2 linked regions of the Sus scrofa genome follow. The protein of the gene in region 2 interacts with the protein of the main gene of each other region in a biochemical or structural test. Links are inferred from orthologs where the notes say so. Each region holds a gene or a part of one and is shown on either strand. Other genes may lie near its edges.

Region 1 (4,846 bases), on a different chromosome or scaffold from region 2:
ACCACTGCGCCACGACGGGAACTCCACAATAATCAATTTTATAACATTTCCAAAGAAACCCCAAACCCATTAGGAGTCATTCTCATTCCCCCTTCCTCTCAAGCCCTAGTAGCCATTAATCAATCTTCTGTCTATGGATTTGCCTATTCTGGATATCTCACATAAATGAAATCATAGGGAATTCCCATCCTGGCTCAGGGGTAATGAACTCGACTAGTATCCATGAGGATGCAGGTTCGATCCCTGGCCTCACTCAATGGGTTAAGGATCAGGTATTTCTGTGAGCTGTGGTGTAGGCTGCAAATGCAGCTGGGATCCCACATTGCTGTCGCTGTAGCACAGGCCAACGGCTGGAGCTTCGATTCAACCCCTAGCCTGGAAACTTCCATATGCCATGGGTGCAGCCCTAAAAAGACCAAAAAAAAAAAAAAAAAAAATGGAATCACAGGAGTTCCCTGGTGGTCTAGAAAGTTTAAGGATCCAGCACTGTCACTGTTGTGGCTCTTATTCCATCCCTGGCCCAGGAACTTGCACATACATGCCTCGGGCACAGTCAATCAATCAATGGAATCACAAAATATGTAGTCTTTTGTGATGAACTTCTTCTGCTTAGCAAAATGTTCACGGTTCATGCACACTGCAACATGTGTTAGCACTTCATTCCTTTTTACTGAATAATATCCCACTGTATGGTTAGACCACATTTTATTTATTTATTCATCAGTTGACAGATATTTGGATGGATCACCTTGATATACACTTTCACCTTATGTTTAAGAGAAGAGATTCTCATTTTTTTATATGCTGTTGAGTTGCAAAATTTCCTTTTAAAATAAAATTATCTAAGTAAAAAAGTGGGTCAGGAGTTCCCATCGTGGCTCAGTGGTTAACGGATTCACCTAGGAACCATGAGATTGTGGGTTCGATTCCTGGCCTTGCTCAGTGGGTTAAGGATCCGGCGTTGCCATGAGCTGTGTGTGGTGTAGGTCTCAGACACAGCTCGGATCCTGCATTGCTGTGGCTATGGCATAGGCTGGCACCTACAGCTCCAATTAGACCCCTAGCCTGGGAATCTCCATATGCCGAGGGTGCGGCCCTAGAAAAGACAAAAAGACCAAAAAAAAAAAAGGAGGGTCAGAGAGTTCCGTTCTGGCTCAGCAGAAACGAACCCAACTAGGATCCATGGGGATGTAGGTTCAATCCCTGGCCTTATTCAGTGGGTCGGGGATTCAGCGTTGCCATGAGCTGTGGTGTAGGTAGAAGACACAGCTCAGATCCCAAGTTGCTGTGGCTGTGGTATAGGCTGGCAGCTATAGCTCTGATTCAGTCCAGAGTCTGGGAACTTCCATATGCCTCGGGTGTGGCCCTAAAAACCAAAAGGGAAAAAAAAAAAAAATCAAACAAAAAAAGCACACAATGCCACAATCTGACATATGATCTTTAAAAAAAAGAGTCAACTTGGAGTTCCCACTGTGGCACACTTGGGAGTGCTAGGGCACAGGTTCAATCCAAGGCCCGGCACAGTGGAACGTTCTGGCATTGTCACAGGTGCGACTTACTTTGCAACTGTGGTTCAGATCTAATCCCTGGCCCCTGAGGGAAAAAAAAAAGGTGGGTCAACTCAAAGAAAAATATCAAGGGAATAATAGTACAGGTGGTTTACAGATACACCTGAAGTAAAAAAAAATATCTAAGGTGTGAGAAATTGCTGGCACAACTTAAAAGCACTGATTCTGGATTCAATAAGCATCAGATCTGAATCCCACTTTGTGAATTTGAGCAAGTGACTTCCCCTTTCTGAGCCTAAGGGTAACATACCAACTTCACAAAGTAGCTGAGAGGATTCCATGACATAACACATAAACCAGCACCCTTCAGGTAAATACTCAGCATACAGTACCCCAGCCTCCATATGATACTTCACCTTACTCCCATCACCTAAAATGCATTCCATTTGCCCCTTATAAGATGTGATTAATTTATTCTTCCTCTGCAAACTGATTTGTGGTTTTACATTAAGTGGCTTTGGAGCCAGAGAGACCTGGGAACTAGCCTCACCACTGCCACTTCCTACATGCATGACTCTAGGCCTCACTTTCCTCCTTATACCATAAGGATAACGAGAACTTCCTGTCGCTCAAAGCTCTGTCATGAGACCAGCGCCGTTAGCATCACTGGGAATTTGCTAAAAATGCATAGCTGCTTCCGCACACTGTCTCCCCATTAGAATCGGAATTTTAACAATGTCTCCAGGTAATTCGTACACACATTAAAGTTTAAGAAGCTCCAACATAAAGTGATTAAAAAAGCTCAGGACACAACAAGGGCTGATAGAGGTGATTATCACCTTGCCTGTGCAAACTAATTAGCTCTGTGACCTGAGGCAGGTTTAAGAAATGCCTCTGTTTCCCCAACCCTAAAATGGGGTAAACAGCAGAACACATTTCAAAGGATTGTTGGCAGTGGCGTTGGTGGTATAGTGGTGAGCACAGCTGCCTTCCAAAGGATCGCTGGGAGGACTAAACGAGTTAACCAATGTTTAGCGCTTAACACAGCGCCCAGAACCCAGCAAGGGCTCCATAAATGCTTGCTAGAACGTCAATACTAATTGTCCCAGTTATTCACGTTATTTGCCTCACTGCCTGCTACCGACAGAGGCCGCACTTGCAGCGCCTTGAGCCTCCCAAGCAGAACCAGATCCACACATGAGAGCTCAAGCAGGGACCGACCGCTTGAGCTCCCAGGCCTCCCAGGCCTCCCAGTTCCCAGGACCGCGTCAGGAGGCCTTGGGGCGGCTCCCACGCCCGCCCGGGAGCCCCGTGCCCACACTCACGCTCTCCAGCACGTCATAATTGGCTTTGATCTGCGCCTCGATCTCCTCCTTGCGCCGTATCAGCGCCTGAATGTCGCTTACAGTCACCCCGCTGGCCTCCGGGGAACCTCCGCTCTGCCTAGCCTCCTGCTCCGACATTGTGGACCTCGGTCCGGGATCCTGGACAGCCGGTTTTCCGGCTGCGAACGCCCGAGGAGACTGTAGCTACGGCTCCACCGGCGGGCCAAAACACCACCGCCATTCGCAGGCGCCAGGAAAAGAGGGGCGTGGCTTGTCAGAGGGCGGTGCCACCGGAAGCCACACCCTGCTGGAACACTTGGTACTGTGGTGACTAGTGGAGTGTGGGTATGACTGGTGGCTGTGGTATATGTCAGCAGCTGCAGCTCCAATTCAGCCCCTAGCCCCAGGACTTACAGATGCTGCAGGTGCTACAATAATAATAATAATTTATCAAATACTCATAATGCATCACACACTGTCCATATGTATTAATCAACAAACTCATAAAACCAGGATTATTATTATTACCCTCATTTGACAGCTGAAAAAACTATCTCAATAACCCACTTGCCCAACTAGCAAAATAAGCAGCCCAAATTTGAACCCAGCTTAATCAAACGGTGACATCTTTTTTTTTTTTTTTTTTTTTTTTTTGTCTTTTGTTGTTGTTGTTGCTATTTCTTTGGCCGCTCCCGCAGCATATGGAGGTTCCCAGGCTAGGGGTCTAATCAGAGCTGTAGCCACTGGCCTACGCCAGAGCCACAGCAACGCGGGATCCGAGCCGCGTCTGCAACCTACACCACAGCTCACGGCAATGCTGGATCCTTAACCCACTGAGCAAGGCCAGGGACCGAACCCGCAACCTCATGGTTCCTAGTCGGATTCGTTAACCACTGCGCCACGACGGGAACTCCCAAACGGTGACATCTTAACATGTGCCTCCTAATATGTTGCCCTGAATAGGACACAGCATCACTATGTAGCAGTCAAACATGTTTGTCCTGAATCCAATCATGAAAAACAGACAAACCCAATTTGAGAGACATTCCAAACAACTGACCTAAGCTCTTCAAAAAGGTCGTTATTGTGAAATTTCCACACAGAAGTTAGGCAATTGCCTAGATTAAAGACTAAAGAGGAGTTCCCTGGTGGCTCAATGGGTTAAGGATCCAGTGTTGTCACTGCTGTAGCTCGGGTTTTATCCCTTGCCCAGGAACTTCTGAATGCCATTGTTCACAAAAAACAAAACAAAAGACTAAAGAGACATAACAATTAACTAATTAAATGCAACATGTGATCCTTGATTGGATCCTGGTTCCCTCAAAAAAAAAAAACAAACTATAAAAGACATCTTTGGGACAACTGGGGAAATTTGAATATGGATAATATAGTACCAAAGTTAAATTTCCTGATTTTGATACCTGTAGTTATTTAAGATGATGTCCTTAGAATGACCTCTGTAGTATTTAGGGGCAAAAGAAGCAACTTACTTTCAAATGGTTTGGAAAAAAGTCCATACATATATTTGCAGACAAGAGAATGAAAATGTAAATATGACAGTGTAAATAATTGGTGTCTCCGGGTGAAACATAGAGGAACATTCTTTGTACTATCATTGCAACTTTTCTGTAAATTTGAAATTATTTCAAAATAAAAAGTTGCTAAAATAATCTTTACACACACAAAAAAATAGCACTGATTACATTAGGCCTCTTATATTTTGTTCAATTATCTCTTTTATATAAACTAAAATTTCTAACATTGACACCAAAAAAAAAGAAACAAAAAGACACAATAAATAAATGCAATGCATGATCCTTGATTGAATTTTTTTTTTTTTGTCTTTCTGCTATTTCTTTGGGCCACTCCCACAGCATATGGAGGTTCCCAGGCTAGGGGTCGAATCGGAGCTGTAGCCACCGGCCTACGCCAGAGCCACAGCAACGTGGGATCCCGAGCCGCGTCTGCAACCTACACCACAGCTCATGGCAACGCCGGATCGTTAACCCACTG
Region 2 (4,117 bases):
ATTCAGTTGAATAATCCAGTAGCTAGAAATTTACCCCTGACTCACCATGGTAGAGCAAGTAGTATAGTCTCTAGCCTCGAAGGCTGTTGTTACCCATCCAGGGGCACCGCAAACACATGCTGGATACATCAACTAAGTGCCTAAATAAAAGCTAACCTAATCCCGATTAACTGTAGGCACCACTATCCCCCTTAATCTATTTGGGAGTGAGGCGGCCCCAGCTTAAAGCTAGGAGGAGGTAGCATTGCAAGCCCATTAAAAGAAAGTACCATGCAGTAAAACACATTATGCCTAGAGAGCATCAAGTTCCCATATGGCTAAGCTAGCTATTTGCACCAAGTACTTGGATCACTGGATACCTACCACTACCACCGCCAAAGCCGCCTCCGCCTCCTCCGTTGTTATAGCTGTCATAGCTGCCACTCCCGCCATAGCCACTGCCCTGGTTTCCATAACCCTGTCCACCACTTCCATAGCCTCTGCTTCCTCCAGAGTAACCAGGGCCGCCTCCTCCATAACCACCTACAAGAATACAATTCTTCTCAATAAGACACAAGTATTCAACATTCAAATTCTGTGCAAGCATGATGGCTAAAGGCCGGCTCACAACATGCTGTAAGAGTCAAACTTGAACTTATCATGCACTAAAGTTTTAGTATCTACTAGCCTATTCTAAAAGTAGTCAAACTTTTTACCTGTAGTTTCTTAAAAAACAAAAAAATCCAACAACAAAACGAACTAAAAAAACCCACACACGCACACACAAAATTTTAACAGTAAAAACAAAAAAACTTACCGTCATTACCAAATCCATTATAGCCATCCCCACTGCCACCATATCCACCACCACCACGACTGCCACCAAAGCCACCTGGAACAGAATTTAAAAGCCAGGTTTGAAGTATGTGGATCGCATACAAATCACACCCTTCTAAGCCTAAATTCTAAGAAGCGTTAAAATAATAAAAAACCATACATACCTCGACCACTAAAGTTTCCCCCACGACCAAAGTTGTCATTTCCACCAAAACCACCTCCACGACCACCACCAAAGTTTCCAGAACCACTTCGACCTGAAGAAAAAAATGTTAACGTTAAATTGTACCGGTTAAAATCATTCAAAATGATGCTTAAGGTTTAATTAAGCAACAAACTCACCTCTTTGGCTGGATGAAGCACTAGCCATCTCTTGCTTGGATAGGGCTTTCCTCACTTCACAGTTGTGGCCATTCACAGTGTGGTATTTCTGAACTGAAAAATTTGAAAGTAAGACACCATCTCAGAGTTTAGGACACAAATGGATTTCAGAACTCTTAGCGAATGCCAACCACCTGCTACTTACTGACAATCTTGTCTACGGAGTCATGGTCATCAAAAGTTACAAAAGCAAAACCTCTCTTTTTGCCACTGCCCCTGTCCGTCATGATTTCAATCACTTCGATTTTCCCATACTGTTCAAAATAATCTCTTAGGTGATGTTCTTCAGTGTCTTCTTTAATGCCACCAACAAAAATCTTTTTCACAGTTAAGTGGGCACCAGGTCTTTGAGAATCCTAAAGGGGGAGAAAATAGTAACAATCCTAAGACCATGTTAATACTAAGTCTGTTACATCCCCTTAATGTGAGTGAATCCTGCTAATCGAACATTTCCAGTCGATGAAACACAAGAAAAACATCACTTACTTCTCTTGAGACGGCCCTCTTTGGTTCCACAACTCTTCCATCCACCTTGTGCGGCCTTGCATTCATGGCTGCATCCACCTCCTCCACAGTGGCATACGTGACAAACCCGAAACCTCTGGAGCGCTTGGTGTTTGGGTCCCTCATTACCTTTAATGTTTATTTAGCACATGGTAAGACACCAGAAGTTACAGCCTTTTCTACCTTGACTAAGGCAATGGAAAACTTTCTACCAACCCTCTAAACGAAGCTCTTCAATGACCACCGCCCCCACCCCTTAAACCTAACAATTGGGAGCTTTTCAGCTATGAAGCCACACCTTCCTTTGTCAAGTAAGCTATAAAGTCAATAGGAATCTTCATAAGCATTCAAACAGCAACGACAGCGAGATAAGCCAAGAAAAACAACTAGCTCTAAGGCCTTTTGTCTCTTCCAAGTCTTACCACACAGTCTGTGAGCGTTCCCCATTGCTCAAAATGGCTCCTCAGACTCTCATCGGTTGTTTCAAAGCTCAAACCTCCGATGAAGAGCTTCCGCAGCTGTTCGGGCTCTTTGGGAGACTAGAAGTAGGGGCAAAAAAAGCGTTAAATAGGGCTATAACGCAAACAAGCTCCCCGCTACAAGAAGCAACACCAGGTAGCAACGTACGAAGCTTTTATTGTTCCCTCGGGTCGCTGTAAGCCACGTGCTTCTCCCCATCTGGGGAGGCGGTATGTTGGGGGCTGGGAAGCGGCGAGCGCATGCGCCCCTTACTCTCCCTACGACGCACGCGCAACAAAAGGACTGGGAGGGCGTGCATCGCCAAAATTGGACTACAGCTACTCTTTAAGAAAGTCGTCCACTAGGACAAGGATGAAAAACAGACCGAATGTGTCCACGAGCATTGCAAAAAAGAACGAGAGCAGCGTGATAACCAAGGATTGCACGACGACAGCCTCATGGCGACGAGGACAAAATGGCGACCTGAACTCAGGGAGGGGTAGGCCCCGGCAGCGACCGAAGAACTGCCGAAAAGGCTGGTGCAAGCAGCCAAACCAGACTGCACCCTACCAAACTCAGCAAGCGGCGAAGAAGAAAACGCAGATGAAAAAAGAGTCTCACTCACCTCTGACTTAGACATGACGGTAGTGGGGAGGAGGTTACAACGATGCTTACTCGGCGGCGTCCGGGGGCAGAAAGGAGTAATCTAACGAACGAGTCTGCCAGCCTACCTTCGGCCTCGCTTTTTTATCCCGCCTCCTCGCGTTCGGCATTGGTAGACTCCGCCCCTGAGTAGCTCTGATTGGATATTTGACATAGCTTTCCCCCACTATTGGTCTCTCGTATGCGTTGCTGTGTAACGTCATCCGTTTGGGCGTTCTACGCAGTCTCAACCCCTCCCGGTCCATTGGTTCCTAAGTAATATTATTCTTAACTAGACTGATTGGCTGGTCAACCAATGATTCATATTTGAATTATTTCGGGTATTGAGATAACTTTTTAATTAGCTATGTCCGGAATATTCAACGCCTGTGTCAAAGCATTTTTAATACTATGTATCAAAAAAGTAGCTAGCATGTGACAATTTGGCGGAACGGGGGCGGGGGCAAGATCGCCTGCTGAGCGCATGTGTAGTAAAATGGCGAGTTTACGCAGGCGCGCTAAGAAGTTCCGCCCGGAGCTTGCAACACGTGAAATGGCGGGCAGGAGACAGCGGCGAACCTAAGGCGCCTGCGTAGTGGCGGGAGTTGTGCCCCCTTTTGCGCAGGCGTAATGGGCGGGGAAAGGGTCGGGTCCCAGGATTGGTCGCGCAGGCGCAGGGAAGGATCCGTTTTGGCGGGCGGTTGGCGTTGCGCAGAAGGCGGCGGCGGCGGTGGCTTGTGGTCCGGCCGCACCACAGAGGAACAGGCGAGGCGTTAGCGTGAGTGATCGGTCTCGACCCCCGGTAAGTGGCGGACCATCTTGCCTACCCATACGAGGTCTTGAACTGACTCCAACTGGGCCCGTTATTGTGTGAAATGAATGGACCTCGGGGTGGGGGCTCGTGAAGGGGGAGCGGTGAGATCGGCCAACCAATGGAAGAACGGGGGCGGGATGTTTTATCCCCGTAGGTTCTGTGGAGCTTTGCAGCGGAAGAGTTTGACTGGCGAGTGTATAGGCCAATTGGGGCTGTCCTTAGCTGCCGACTCATCGGTCCTTGGGCCATCGGTATGTGGGAGGCGGGCTTTCTCCTCCTGAGCAGCATCTCACTGAGCCAATGAGCACGAAGCGCGCGGTAGGTTGGGCTCCTCCAAGAGGCCACGATTTGACTCCAATGGGGGATGCGGGAGTTGGGCGGTTAGGTGGATGGACCAAATCGGGAGCCAGTAGGCGAGCAGCCTCTGGAAAGCGCTCAGGCTGTTCGTCCAATCAGCGCTCCAAAAGAGGGAGGTCTTAGATTTGGGGATGCGAGGAAGGG

What was found. The genes of interacting proteins can lie anywhere in the genome.
Region 1: the proteins of HNRNPA1 (region 2) and PSMD9 interact in a test that uses a peptide from one of them, tested with the Homo sapiens proteins (3 studies listed by BioGRID and IntAct, with this or other methods). The link is inferred for Sus scrofa from reciprocal best matches to the Homo sapiens genes HNRNPA1 and PSMD9.

What each region holds. Positions count from the first base shown.
Region 1 is NC_010456.5:30,819,035-30,823,880, forward strand, and holds the start of PSMD9 (26S proteasome non-ATPase regulatory subunit 9), read right to left. Parts: upstream 3,102-4,846; 5' UTR 2,972-3,101; coding exon 2,834-2,971; intron 1-2,833. UniProt on the Homo sapiens protein: Acts as a chaperone during the assembly of the 26S proteasome, specifically of the base subcomplex of the PA700/19S regulatory complex (RC).
Region 2 is NC_010447.5:19,483,860-19,487,976, reverse strand, and holds the start of HNRNPA1 (heterogeneous nuclear ribonucleoprotein A1), read right to left. Parts: upstream 2,801-4,117; coding exon 2,786-2,800; intron 2,241-2,785; coding exon 2,124-2,240; intron 1,831-2,123; coding exon 1,684-1,830; intron 1,554-1,683; coding exon 1,343-1,553; intron 1,252-1,342; coding exon 1,159-1,251; intron 1,074-1,158; coding exon 981-1,073; intron 872-980; coding exon 797-871; intron 523-796; coding exon of another isoform or gene 364-522; intron 1-363. UniProt on the Homo sapiens protein: Involved in the packaging of pre-mRNA into hnRNP particles, transport of poly(A) mRNA from the nucleus to the cytoplasm and modulation of splice site selection.